Arabidopsis thaliana: one gene and its partner. The protein of the gene in region 1 purifies or fractionates together with the protein of each later gene. This does not show direct contact. Each region holds a gene or a part of one and is shown in the gene's direction. Other genes may lie near its edges.

Region 1 (7,470 bases):
GTAATACTAGGTAACCACAATGTATCATTTGGACCGCCCAATGTATTTGTTGGGATATCTTGCAAGTCAAAGTCGGGTTTTCTTGGTAGACAAAGAATTCAAGTAAGTGCTTAGATTTGTGTGTTTATATAATTGAGATTGTTCTAGAAGTTTCTGATGCTGTTCCCCTGTTTTGTGGATGCAGTGTTATAGGGTACACCTTGTTGCTAAGCCTGATTGAGTACAAGACTCTTGTGATGCGGGGTGATTTAGACAAAGCCAGTGAAATCTTACCTACAATTCCTAAAGATCAGCATAACAGGTATGCTAGATCTTAACTTCTGTGTGTGCTTGTGATTCATTCTTTATCGCACTTCTCTTGTTATGTGATATGTCTTAGGTTTTTCATTTCTTTAGGAAGGAATATTATGATTATTTTCTCTTACAAATATGCTGTGTCTAGATCTACTGACTCTATTGTTTAACATAGTTGCACACCTATCAATGGGTGTTTCGTGGACAACTCTCTTTATTTATTTTCGGACAATTTTCGACTTGTTAGTGTTGCTCATTTCTTGGAGTCACGGGGAATGATTGAAGATGCTCTGGAAATTGCAACAGATCCTGACTACAGATTTGAGTTGGCCATACAACTGGGTAGACTTGAAATTGCACAGGTGATATAATGTGTGATGACTAAGATACTTTTTAACTTCTTGTATAGTGGCAATATTTAAACATGTTTTTTAATTTATGCCTGTAGGAAATCGCTGTGGAAGTACAGAGCGAATCTAAGTGGAAACAATTAGGAGAGTTAGCTATGTCCTCCGGAAAGGTATATATTTGTCTTTGTATTTCGTCCTAATGTTTTGTAATGATAAGAGACACAAAATAACCTTTCCACTAAATGGTTTATGATTTACATTATGATTCTGACATTTATTTAGAAATGTGGGAGCAACAGCAAAATCTCTGTTTCTCGTCTCCTGGATTTGTCTTTGATGTGGGGATTTCCAACTAACTCTTTCCGTTTTTATGTCATCATGACAGCTGCAAATGGCTGAGGAATGCATGAAGTATGCGATGGATTTGAGTGGTTTGTTACTTCTTTATTCTTCTCTGGGAGATGCTGAAGGTGTAACAAAACTTGCAACACTTGCTAAAGAACAAGGGAAGAACAATGTCGCCTTTCTTTGCCTATTCATGCTGGGTAAACTGGAAGATTGTTTGCAGTTATTGGTGGAGAGGTAATTCATTAGTAGTCACTTGAGAGTTTGGAAAATCAAATTTATGCACCTTTGGTTAACTGTGTGACAATATTTTTTCCTCAGTAACCGGATACCAGAAGCTGCTCTGATGGCACGATCATATCTTCCGAGCAAAGTTTCTGAGATAGTAGCTCTTTGGAGGAAAGATCTCAGCAAGGTTCCTTTCAAATCTTTTTAGGTTTTAGTGTAATGTGGTCAAGGAGACAAGTTGTGGGTTTAAGTTACCTTGCACTTGAATACAGGTTAATTCAAAAGCAGCAGAATCTTTGGCTGATCCTGAGGAGTACTCAAATCTTTTTGAAGATTGGCAAGTTGCTCTTTCTGTGGAAGCTAAAGCTGTAGAGACAAGGTAATCGCTGCATTTTTTTTGCTCAAGTGTGCTTTTCTCTTCCATGGTTTTTGAATCAAGCAGCGAATCGTTAATACCTACTGCATCCACGTAGTGATAACTCCGGATTATAGATAGCGACATTCTCAGACCTCTCTTTAAAATTGTCTGTTCTCCATTTACAGGGGAGTTTACACAGGTGCAAAAGATTATCCTAGCCATGCTGATAAATCTTCCATGACCCTCGTGGAAGCCTTCCGAAACTTGCAAGTTGAGGAAGAGGAATCACTTGAAAATGGAGATATGGATCACGAGGTGACCCATTTTCTTTTCCAATTGACTGAGTTATTTACATCTATTGTTAGTTATCTTGCGTGTTTTAGTAAGCAACAACTGATTTATTTTTTCTTTTCTCAGGAGGTAGTAGCAGAAGAAAATGGAAATGAACAAAGGAATGAGGATGATGTAGCGGAGCATGTAGAGGAGCATCATGAAGAGAAAGAAGCAGAAGAAGAAGAGGGAATTGTTGATGGAGACTCTACGGATGGAGCTGTACTTGTTAATGGAAGTGAGGCTGACGAAGAGTGGGGTACGAATAATGAAGGAAACCCATCAGCCTAATAGCAAGTCGGTCAAGGCCAATGTTGAAAAGTCTGAAAATTTTGTCTCTGGTGATTAATTTGATTCCCCGAAAAGCCGCCTTCTAACATCTTTTTCCGTTGATGTGTGTCTGGTTTCAAGTCATTGCATTTCATAGCAACCCTTAGGAACATAACACCAATTTTGTTTTTTCGCGACATGAGTTAGGCTTTAAAAACCGAGTATACATGCTTCATCTTCTTATATAAACTAACAGTGTCTCGGGGTTTTATTGGTTGCTGATGCTGTTTTATCTTATGTGGATTTTCTTTGTTTTTTGCAGTGCTTACACCGCGTCAGTAGAGTTTACAGTTTATGGGAATGGTGAAAGTTCCAGCAACAATGGAGAGAGGTGAGAGAACTTTCATTCTTTTACTGAGGATTGAAAGGTCAAATCCGAGCAGCCTGGAACCACATTTTGAAACCATTTTGTAATAAAAGTTTGAATTTCTTAAGAAAATGAAAATCGAGTAGGACTCAGTTCTTTGCTGGAGAGACTGGAAGATTTAGATGAAAGAGAGGCTGATGAGTTTTTAAGCAAGTGTGGTCGTTCCTTTTTGTCTTTTGCACTCACAGGGAGGTTTATTATTATTATCATATGGTTTTTTTTTTTTTTTTTTTCCTACAAATATCTACTTAGATTTCATCAGATTGTTTTTTTTTTTTCCTTTTCTTTTGTCTGGCCTGTAACATGATTTTTTCACTTTTCATCGTTGCATATATAATTCTTTTGAAGACTTGATCTCTAAAAATATATTTATTCTCATGTTCTACTAACACTTGAAATTTTTGAACATAGGAATGTTTTGAGTTAAATATGATTTGTTGAATTCGGTCGAGGATTATGTCTAATAAAAAGTCTCAAGTATACAATGTGAATTAAGGAAATCTATAATCTCGTAACTAATTATAAATTTATAAAACAAAATTAAAAGTATATGTAATTGTTGAGTATTTTTTCACTAAAATGTGACAAAATTATTCTGAACTCGTTAAATAAAATGTTGAGAGACGTATGTCGACGCTCTTCTTCTATTAAACCTCTTCTTCGTCTCTGGCTCAGGGCGTTAGTTTTTTTTTCCGCTTCTCTGCTACTGCTCCTTCGCGGTAAGTCTTTCCCATTTTCTCCTCGCCGGGCATTTTCGTCTAAGCTTAGGTTATCTTCATCCCCAGTTACTTTGATTTTTTTTTTTTTTTTCTTCTCGTCGTGTTGTTTGTTGTGGAAATAGTTATCGGCCATTTCTTTATTTTATTCTTGACAGTTTGTTTTGATGGTTAGGGTTTTTAGAATTTAACTCGTATTTGACCCATTTGGGTTGTGATCGAATTTTAAATCTCTTCGAATAATGGGTGCGTTGCTTTGATTACTCGGTTCTTATATTGTTGAAAGCTAGAATCAATTTGAATTTGAATCAACTCCACTAGTGCATTGGTCCCTTTCGTGCAACTCCTTTGTCTGAATCTTATACATAGATTTAGAATAGTAGATCCACTCATGTTGATTTTTTCATTACTTATTAGTAAAGTCTCTAATGCATGTCTTACATCTAAGTTTAGCTCTACTTATTTTGTTCAAGATTGTTTTTTTACCATCTTCTGCAGAAGAAGCATAGACTAAGGTTTAGGGTAGAATATAATGGCGGGTTGGCAGAAGAATTTACAGATTGTTATTCGTCAAGTTGGTAAAAGAGTTAAGGACAGTCACATTTCCACGGCAAATTACTCTTCCACACGGAATTTGGAATCCCCTTTCTCACAAGGTGGTGAATATTATACCATTTGAAGCTGTTTAGTTTTGATCATTTCGGTTTAGATAATGTTAAATCATTTCTGAATCTATTGTGTTCTTAGTGAAATTTCAAAATGTCAGGTGTTATCTTGGATTTTTGTTTTAATATAGTGTTTGTGTGTTTGAGTTGAGTGGGTGATGATTTTTTTTTTTTTTCAATTTTTGCTGTTGAACTAGGTTATTTGCAGAGTCTCTTGAGATCAACCTATTCCTCAAGACCACTGTATTATCATCTACAACAACTGGTAATGCTTCTGAATCGATGTTTCTTTTGTTTTCTATTGAGACTGGAGTTTCTCGTTTCCTCTTTGATAAATTTGCTTTAGTAATTTAATATAGCAAAATTGTTGTTAGTGGGATAGGGGAAGTGATTAAATGTGCTAGTGGAATGACTACATCTGTTATCTATCTGAATTATGCGAAAAGACACATCTCCTGAAACCATTCATCTGTGGAGAACTATGTTATCTATGGGTATGCTGCTTCATTCTTCTCTGATCTAAATCTGTATGTTTTCAGGGAATTTCTACCTCAAGACAATTGCAGGCGGGTGAGGAGCCTGTATCATCACCTTTGTCATCTCCAGCTCTGCTGGGTAGTGGAAAAGAAGAAGAGCAGAAGATTATCCCAAAGCGTCAGAAAGTTCAGGCTGTCCTCAAGTCCATAAAGCAGGTGTGTTCTCTCTAACTCCTAGTACAGTTTTACATTTTAGATGATATGTATACATCTTGATTTGTTATATGCGCTATATAATGTGCCCAAACCTTACTTATTGCAGAGTCCTAAGAAGGTCAACTTGGTTGCAGCACTAGTCCGTGGCATGCGTGTTGAAGATGCTTTGATGCAATTGCAGGTCACGGTCAAACGAGCTTCACAAACTGTGTACCGGGTAATCTCTGAGATTCGAGTTCAGAAACAAATCACTTTTAGAGTGTCTGGTCTACTCTCCTCTCGAGGCATTTGATACATTTCCTCATCTAATGATACTTAGCATACAACTTGGTCTCATAATGTAGGTTATACATGCTGCGCGGGCAAATGCTACTCATAACCATGGACTAGATCCTGACCGTCTCCTTGTTGGTATGTATACTACTGATCTACCGGATCTGTGACTGACTTGTTTTGCAACACTAAAGAAGGAAACATGATATATGTCAGAGAAGGATGTATAATTCATCTAAGTTCTTTTGATATGTGTGATGCAGCGGAAGCGTTTGTTGGGAAGGGACTCTTTGGGAAGAAGGTAGCTTACCATGCAAAAGGAAGAAGCGGGATAATATCAATACCCAGGTGTCGTCTAACAGTCATAGTCAGAGAGACGACTGCAGAGGAAGAAGCTGAGATTGCAAGGCTGAAAGTTCACAATTTTAAGAAGCTAAACAAGCGGCAGAGACAGCTGGTACCACACAAGTTGATCGAGACAAGTCCAATCTGGAACCGCAGAGGTACCAAAGGCAATCACAGGTCATCTGAGTTGGTACCGTCTCACTAAGTATCATTGTTCCGGCAACTGTAACGAGAGCTTCTCTTTTATGGTACTTGTTTGTATCGGTAATTGGTTACTATTCCATTCAATAGATATGTTGCCAGAGACAGGAACCAAAAGAAAAGTCATTTTTCAATTTATATGAATCGAAGAAAACTGTAATCTTGTAAACATAATTAACACGAATAACATATTTTTCAATGTGACCTTTTGTGCATAATAAAATAAAATAATTGAAGTCACACACAAATGTCGATAAAAATAAAAAAGTTGAGAAAGAGAGAGAGATACAGAGCTGGATGTTTTTTCCTCTATAAACCTCTTTTGCTTTCTCTCTTCGTCTCTGACCACTTTGGCTCCGGCGTTAGTTTTTTCCCTCTCTGCTACTGCTGCGGCTCCGGCTCCTGCTACGGTAAGTCCTTGCCATTTTCTCGTCACCGGTCACTTTCTTCGAATCTTAGGTTTCTTCATTATCGGGTTTATCGGAAATGGTTTGTCTCAGGGTTAGCTACTTTGATTCTAGGGTTTTGTCATGCTCTTGTTTGTTCTGGAAATAGTTTCCGGTCATTTCTTTTATTTTGGTTCTTGATAGTTGCTTTGATGATTAGGGTTTTTGGTATTTAACTCGTGTTGAGATCGAGTTTCAGATTTTTTCTTCACTCATCGAATAATTTCTGAAGATGCTTTGGGGTTTACTCGATTGTTGCAGCTAACAGGAGTTTCTCTTAAATTTGATAGGTTCCTAAAATCGAATTTGGGTTTTTGTTTCCTCCGATTTAAAATCTCTTTTCATCTAGGTTTATAGATTTGAGGATAATAACAAAGTCACTGATGTTGAATTTTTCATTGGTTTTAGATTTATAAGTCACTGTATTTGCATTTCTTATATCTAAGTTTAGCCCTACTTCTTCTGTTCCTTACCTTGGAGTGTTAACATATAATTAGCTGTCTTCTTTGAATACATTTTAAGGCTTTCTGGATATTTGCATAAGGTAACGAGCAGCCTCTGTAGTTTTCACTTTCCATTGCATTGTCATGTTAAAGCTTTTGTCTTCTTAGATTTGGCATTACTCATCATCATCTGTGGCTGCAAACTGATCCGGTGTGTGTGTTTTACCTTTGGAACGGTGTTTTGCATTGTAATGTTTTATCTCTGTTTTCAAAAATTGGATTTTTATCTGTTATTATCTTTGAAGGGTATTGTTTCATTGGACTTTCTTTGTTTGTCTGTGTTTTTTTATTAGGTATTTGACAAGTGTGTTGACATTCTCTCATAACAATTCAAATGGGTGACTCGGAAAACGTTCAGCAACCTTCAAAAAAGAGAGGTGCCTTGAAGCAGCTGTCTCGTGATAATCCAGGTCTTGATGATGATGATGATTCAGCTGAACTTGAGAGTGGAACTTTCAAGAAGGCCAGTGATGAGGTTTTGGCTAGTAGAAGAATTGTCAGAGTTAAGCGCAAAGAGCCATCTGCTGCTCCAGTTGCAGCATCCAATCCATTTGCTGGAATTCAGTTGGTCCCTACGACTGCACCTGCTTCAACCCCTGTGGGAACAAATGCACCTCTGGCTGAGTCAAAATTGGCTCCAGCTGAAGCAGTAGTTGAGGACAATCAAAAAGCAAGTGATATTGAGGAGGGCGATGAAGTTGACAGTAAGAAGGTTGATGTCAAAGATGCTGTTGGGGAAGAGACTGAAAAGACTAAAGATAAGGATGATAATCATTGTGGAAAGAGTGCTGATGTCCAAGTTGCGGCTACAGAAGTAGCTCAGATGGTCTCATGTGACACAAACGTTTGCAACAACGCTGTTGAAGGAACAGACCAAACTGATTTTCCTCTTGAGAAGGATTCAGGAGGTGATCAGGCTGAGAAAAAAGAAAAAGAAGGCAACGGAATTGAGGAAGCAGATAAGAATGGCGATAATGGTGCTTTCAGCTCATTCCAACAGCATTCAAGTAACAAAAACGCATTCACC
Region 2 (4,731 bases), on another chromosome or scaffold:
AGTTTAACATGTTCTACATAGTTTGGATTTGTCACTTAAAATAATATTGGTGCTTAAACTCTTACTTTTGTGATAATATTTTTCTCGAGATTGTAGTAAAAGATGAAGAAAGGATATCTTGTGTAATCTGGATACAACACAATCTGGATATCTTATTGTCAATCTCTATGTATTGTGAGAAGTTGATACTAACAAGATGATTTGTGCAAGTAGATACAAATCTTGCATGTGTAAGTTGATACTCGACGATACCTTGAAACTGATTGACTGTTTGTTGATCGGATCATAACCAAAAATTTGGATAGGCAACAACACTGAACTATAGACTTTACCGGCTATCTCGACAAAATGATCATCATGACGAGATCAACATGGATCATAATCAAAGTATACGTCGTCGTACCGTTCAACTGCCACCGTATCCTGGAGCTTAGCTTCGAGGGTCGAAATAAAGTGCTCTATTTCTGTCTTCTTGAGCTTTTAACTCTTCCAATTACCGAACAATTTCCGACGAATCTCCGACGTCCGACTCCATCACGACAATGTTTAAAGAGCCAATAGTAGAACCCTAGAGGTTAAAGCAGCAAAGAAGACGATGTCAGTCAACGGGACAAAACGTACGTTGACTATTTTTATTGTCATTAACCGGATTTAACCGCGAACCAGATTGGTAGACCGGTTGGGTTTTTAAGAGAATTCATGAACTTACGAATTTATTTATTTACCTATTAAAATAAACTAAATTTGAATGAAATATAATCCCAATGACAGATAAGAATAAATAATGAAACATTTTGACTAAAATTATTATCTGACCCAAATAAGACTATAAAAAAGAAGAAAAAATCCTTGAATAATATGGAAGATTTATTATTTACATATATATATATATATGTATATACGTATGTCTATATAAATGTACATCCAAGACCACCACAAATCATTCTCAATAAGTACTGAAATATTACAAATACAAAAGGTAAGTCAAAAATAATATAAAATATTTAGAATATGTTACTAGATTTTTGTTTTTGTTATAACAATAACTTTGAAATTCGCTTTTAATAGGTTTTGAGAAGCAGGTATAGAATCATCTTGAAAGAATAACAAATAACAACCAAAATGGTTGCATCTCATCGATTACTTACGTTGATGGTGTTTGCTCTCCTCACCATACCTATGATTTCTGGTAACACATTTATTTGTTATACAAATTATATATTTTTTTTAAAAAAATTGTTCTTAAAAAACTACAGTTTTCAATATTAAACTGACCATTTTTGCTTATAAATTTTTTGTTGATGAATTTTTTATTTATAAAATCGTATAGGACTAATTTCAGATAAATGTACGGAAGGATGTAAAAGCACAATAGGATGCAATACAAGATGCATGATGAGAGGCGGAGGGTATTGTGAAAGCGCTAAAATTCACGGGGCTGTTAAAATATTTTGTTGCTGCAACAATTATTCTAATTCTCCCATCTCCAGTCCGGTCATCAATTGATTGATCTCTTATTCTATATGTACTCTCGATCATAAGATATTATTAAAAACATATATTTATATAATGATAATTGATATAATCTCATCCTGATCCAACCCCCAATCTCTCTCATCAAAATGTTTATAAGAATTCAATACATGTACACAATAAAATCCACAAGAAAAACGACAGCGGTTCGACTTATAGTTAATGTCATTAGGACATCGATTTTGTCAAATCGATCATGTAAAGTTATGTATGAAACTGTAGAATATGAAATAGAAATCTTCGTATATTGGATTTAACTACAAAGGAAATTGCATGACGTCGTGACTAACCCTGGGAAACATGTCATCTTTTGGCTACGACGGCGCATCACACACACGTGGCATCATAATCATAACCTCCGTTGATGAGACATCAAAAGTCTCAATTAACTGCTATAGGAAAATTCATCTATGGTACTTGATCTAATCTAAGCTGCAAAAATAAGAGACCTCCGAAGAAAAAATGTTGAGAAATTATGTGAACCCAAAATCAATCTCCAAGCCTAATATAACAACATCATGTATTTACTCTTTTTATCTCAAGGTATATATTCTGATATTCCTACGTTTTCATGAAATAGATTAACTATATATATATACAAAGATTTTTGGAGATGTTTTCTTAATATGTAGAGAGGAAGTGCGAGTGGAGGGAGGGAAGAAGGAAGAGCTTCTTCGACGGCGGAGGAGTTCACAAGACAAGGTGTTGCTAGCCAAACAGTTGAGAAGGCTTTTGACGGAGCTGCGGTGGCGGTAAACGTCTCCGGTGATTCTGAGGCGGATGTGGAGAAGGTGAAAGAGGCGTTTTTAGATAAGAAAGACTATAATTATAAGAAGAGACCTGAGGATGATGATGATGGTTTGCCTATCAACACGGCTAAAGGAATATAACGTATGTGCATTTGTTAGATATCACTTGTAAAGTAGTAGTATGTAATAATATGCATCATGTATCATGTATGTAATATTATAGGCTTCATGTACTTTGTATAATAAATCGAGTAATGGATAGAAGAACGGTTGCCCTTTTTCTCTCTTTTTCTTGTCTACCAATATTTGTAAGTTTACCGATTTCTTTTAGTTATGTAATTTAGCTACTACTTTTGTATAAATATAATTTACTTTGATAATTTTCTCTTTTTAATAATGCATCATTACTCATTAGTAATAATATTGATCAACCCCAAGATTTAAAGCTATTGAACTTATAGAAGGTAGAAAAACCTTAAATAATACACCTACCTAGCAAATAGCTTTTACCAATTTAGAGGTTAGAACTAGTGATGAGAGCAGTGGAATTTGACTGTTCATCATACACTTTCTGAAATAAATTGTTTTTGCAAGATTAATAAATCTAAAGATTGATGTAAAAAAAATGAAACCAATCTAGTAATTTTTGAACAAATTATAAAAAGGTAAAGGAGCCAATAATTGGGCCCAGATAAAGCCCAAATAATTAAGCTAATCTACAAAACGCTGTCGTTTAACCATTGTTCCGCTAAAAGCTTAAAACCCTTAAACGCGAATCTCAAAGATTTTCCGAGCTCTGTTCGCCGTCTTGACTACACTCGTCGACGATCTCTTTCACCGGACTTCTCCCGTCTCTGTTTCCTCAAGGTACTCGAAAACCATCCATTTCTATCTCAAACACCTAATTGAAATCTCGCGTTATGCAGCTCCTCTTTTCTTCTGAATTGATCGATCTGATTTGGTTTCAATTCGTGATGATTCACTCTCTCATGATTCATGTTATCAATCGTCTTCGTTTATTGTATCTATTGATTTCTACGGTGAATTCTGTGTGATTGCTTGATTATGATTTTGTTAATGGTTACAGAGAGATTGAGTGATAAAGGAGACAAAAAAAAAAAAGAATGAGTGGTTTTAGAGCTTTCAAAGCACAAGTGCCTATTGAATGGAGCCAGAGCTTGTACATAACCTTAGTAAGAGGTCTCCCTGGAACAAGGAAGCTTCACAGACGAACACTTGAAGCTATGGGACTTCGTAGATGTCATCGTACTGTTTTGCATTCAAACAATTCATCCATTAGGGGAATGATTGATCAGGTTCTCTTCCTTTATCTTTTTATCTATTCTCATTTGTCATAAAATCCTAGATTTCAAAATTGTGATGGTTGGTTTTGCCTCTATGTAGGTTAAAAGGATGGTTGTTGTTGAAACAGAAGAAATGTACAATGCTCGTAAAGAAGCAGAAGCCAACCACAAAGCTTTGCGCCCGCCTCTCGTTGTCAGTCATTCGAGTCCTGCAACAGATTCATCCAACATGTCTTGAGAGTACTTTCATAAGATGGTAAGCTCTTCTACCGTCAGTTCGATAAGATCCGCTTGGATATTGTAGGCGGCTTATGTTTAAGTTCTCTCTAAAGGTGTCCAGGAAGTAAACTAGTCCTAGACGCTTGATAAGAAATGTTGGTATCAGTGTGTTTGGTGCCTCTTTATGTTTTTTGTATACACTGGATACTTGTGTATGTTTTGCTCTCATTCTGTCAATCTCAAATCTATCGGTTTTTTTTTTTTTTTGTGGCCAATGTTTCAAGATTGAGAATGTGAAAGTTGATTCTCAAAAAAGTTACCTTTCAATTTGATTAATGAAAGTAGTGAGAGAAAGATAGATGCTGAAATAATCATAACTTAATATATATGTTACAGATGAAGAACCAAAATGTATGATGACAATTGTAATGTATCAAAGAATTGAAATTTGAAATACAAAACCTATACTATGCAAACTACAAATTCTACAATGCATCAGTCATTCATCACTGAGGAACGTCTGTTGGTGTGACCCAAAACATCTGACAATTCCAAGATCTTGGCTGGTAAATTTTCATGATTTGCTTACTCTCCCATTCAAAAACGCTCAGATTCTGAGGCCCTGATCCTCCTACACTTGGATCATCACCATCAATGAAATAAACTGAGTTGTCTTTGAAAAATCCTCTCTCACCTGCTAAAACAGCTATACATCTACCTTGAGGGCTCAAGAACAAAGCTTTTCCTCTCAAGCTCATCACCTTTGTCCATTCGTTAGTCTCGCGATTGAATTCGTAAATCTCGAAAGAGGTTTCGAAATCACAATCGTCGTTAAGCTCCAGCTTCTTTAGGACCACCCACAGTTCGTCGTAATCCGACTCTGCCAAGTATTTCTTGCAAGAGTCGTACCGAAACGGCGAGGTGCT

What was found.
Region 2: the proteins of AT1G52370 (region 1) and AT5G55140 fractionate together in Arabidopsis thaliana (co-fractionation; one large-scale study listed by BioGRID). This does not show direct contact.

What each region holds. Positions count from the first base shown.
Region 1 is NC_003070.9:19,503,202-19,510,671, forward strand, and holds AT1G52370 (Ribosomal protein L22p/L17e family protein), read left to right. Parts: upstream 1-3,154; 5' UTR 3,155-3,370; exon of another isoform or gene 3,371-3,816; 5' UTR 3,817-3,850; coding exon 3,851-3,974; intron 3,975-4,180; coding exon 4,181-4,248; intron 4,249-4,522; coding exon 4,523-4,675; intron 4,676-4,781; coding exon 4,782-4,892; intron 4,893-5,019; coding exon 5,020-5,086; intron 5,087-5,211; coding exon 5,212-5,498; 3' UTR 5,499-5,733; downstream 5,734-7,470. Other genes in the region: AT1G52360 (Coatomer, beta' subunit), read left to right, coding at 11-102, 185-301, 542-656, 743-814, 1,030-1,226, 1,311-1,404, 1,490-1,596, 1,761-1,890 and 1 more; AT1G52380 (NUP50 (Nucleoporin 50 kDa) protein), read left to right, coding at 6,778-7,470.
Region 2 is NC_003076.8:22,377,964-22,382,694, forward strand, and holds AT5G55140 (ribosomal protein L30 family protein), read left to right. Parts: upstream 1-3,032; 5' UTR 3,033-3,149; intron 3,150-3,369; 5' UTR 3,370-3,406; coding exon 3,407-3,598; intron 3,599-3,686; coding exon 3,687-3,824; 3' UTR 3,825-4,231; downstream 4,232-4,731. Other genes in the region: AT5G55132 (Defensin-like (DEFL) family protein), read left to right, coding at 1,123-1,189, 1,331-1,506; AT5G55135 (uncharacterized protein), read left to right, coding at 1,996-2,076, 2,166-2,423; AT5G55150 (F-box SKIP23-like protein (DUF295)), read right to left, coding at 4,312-4,731.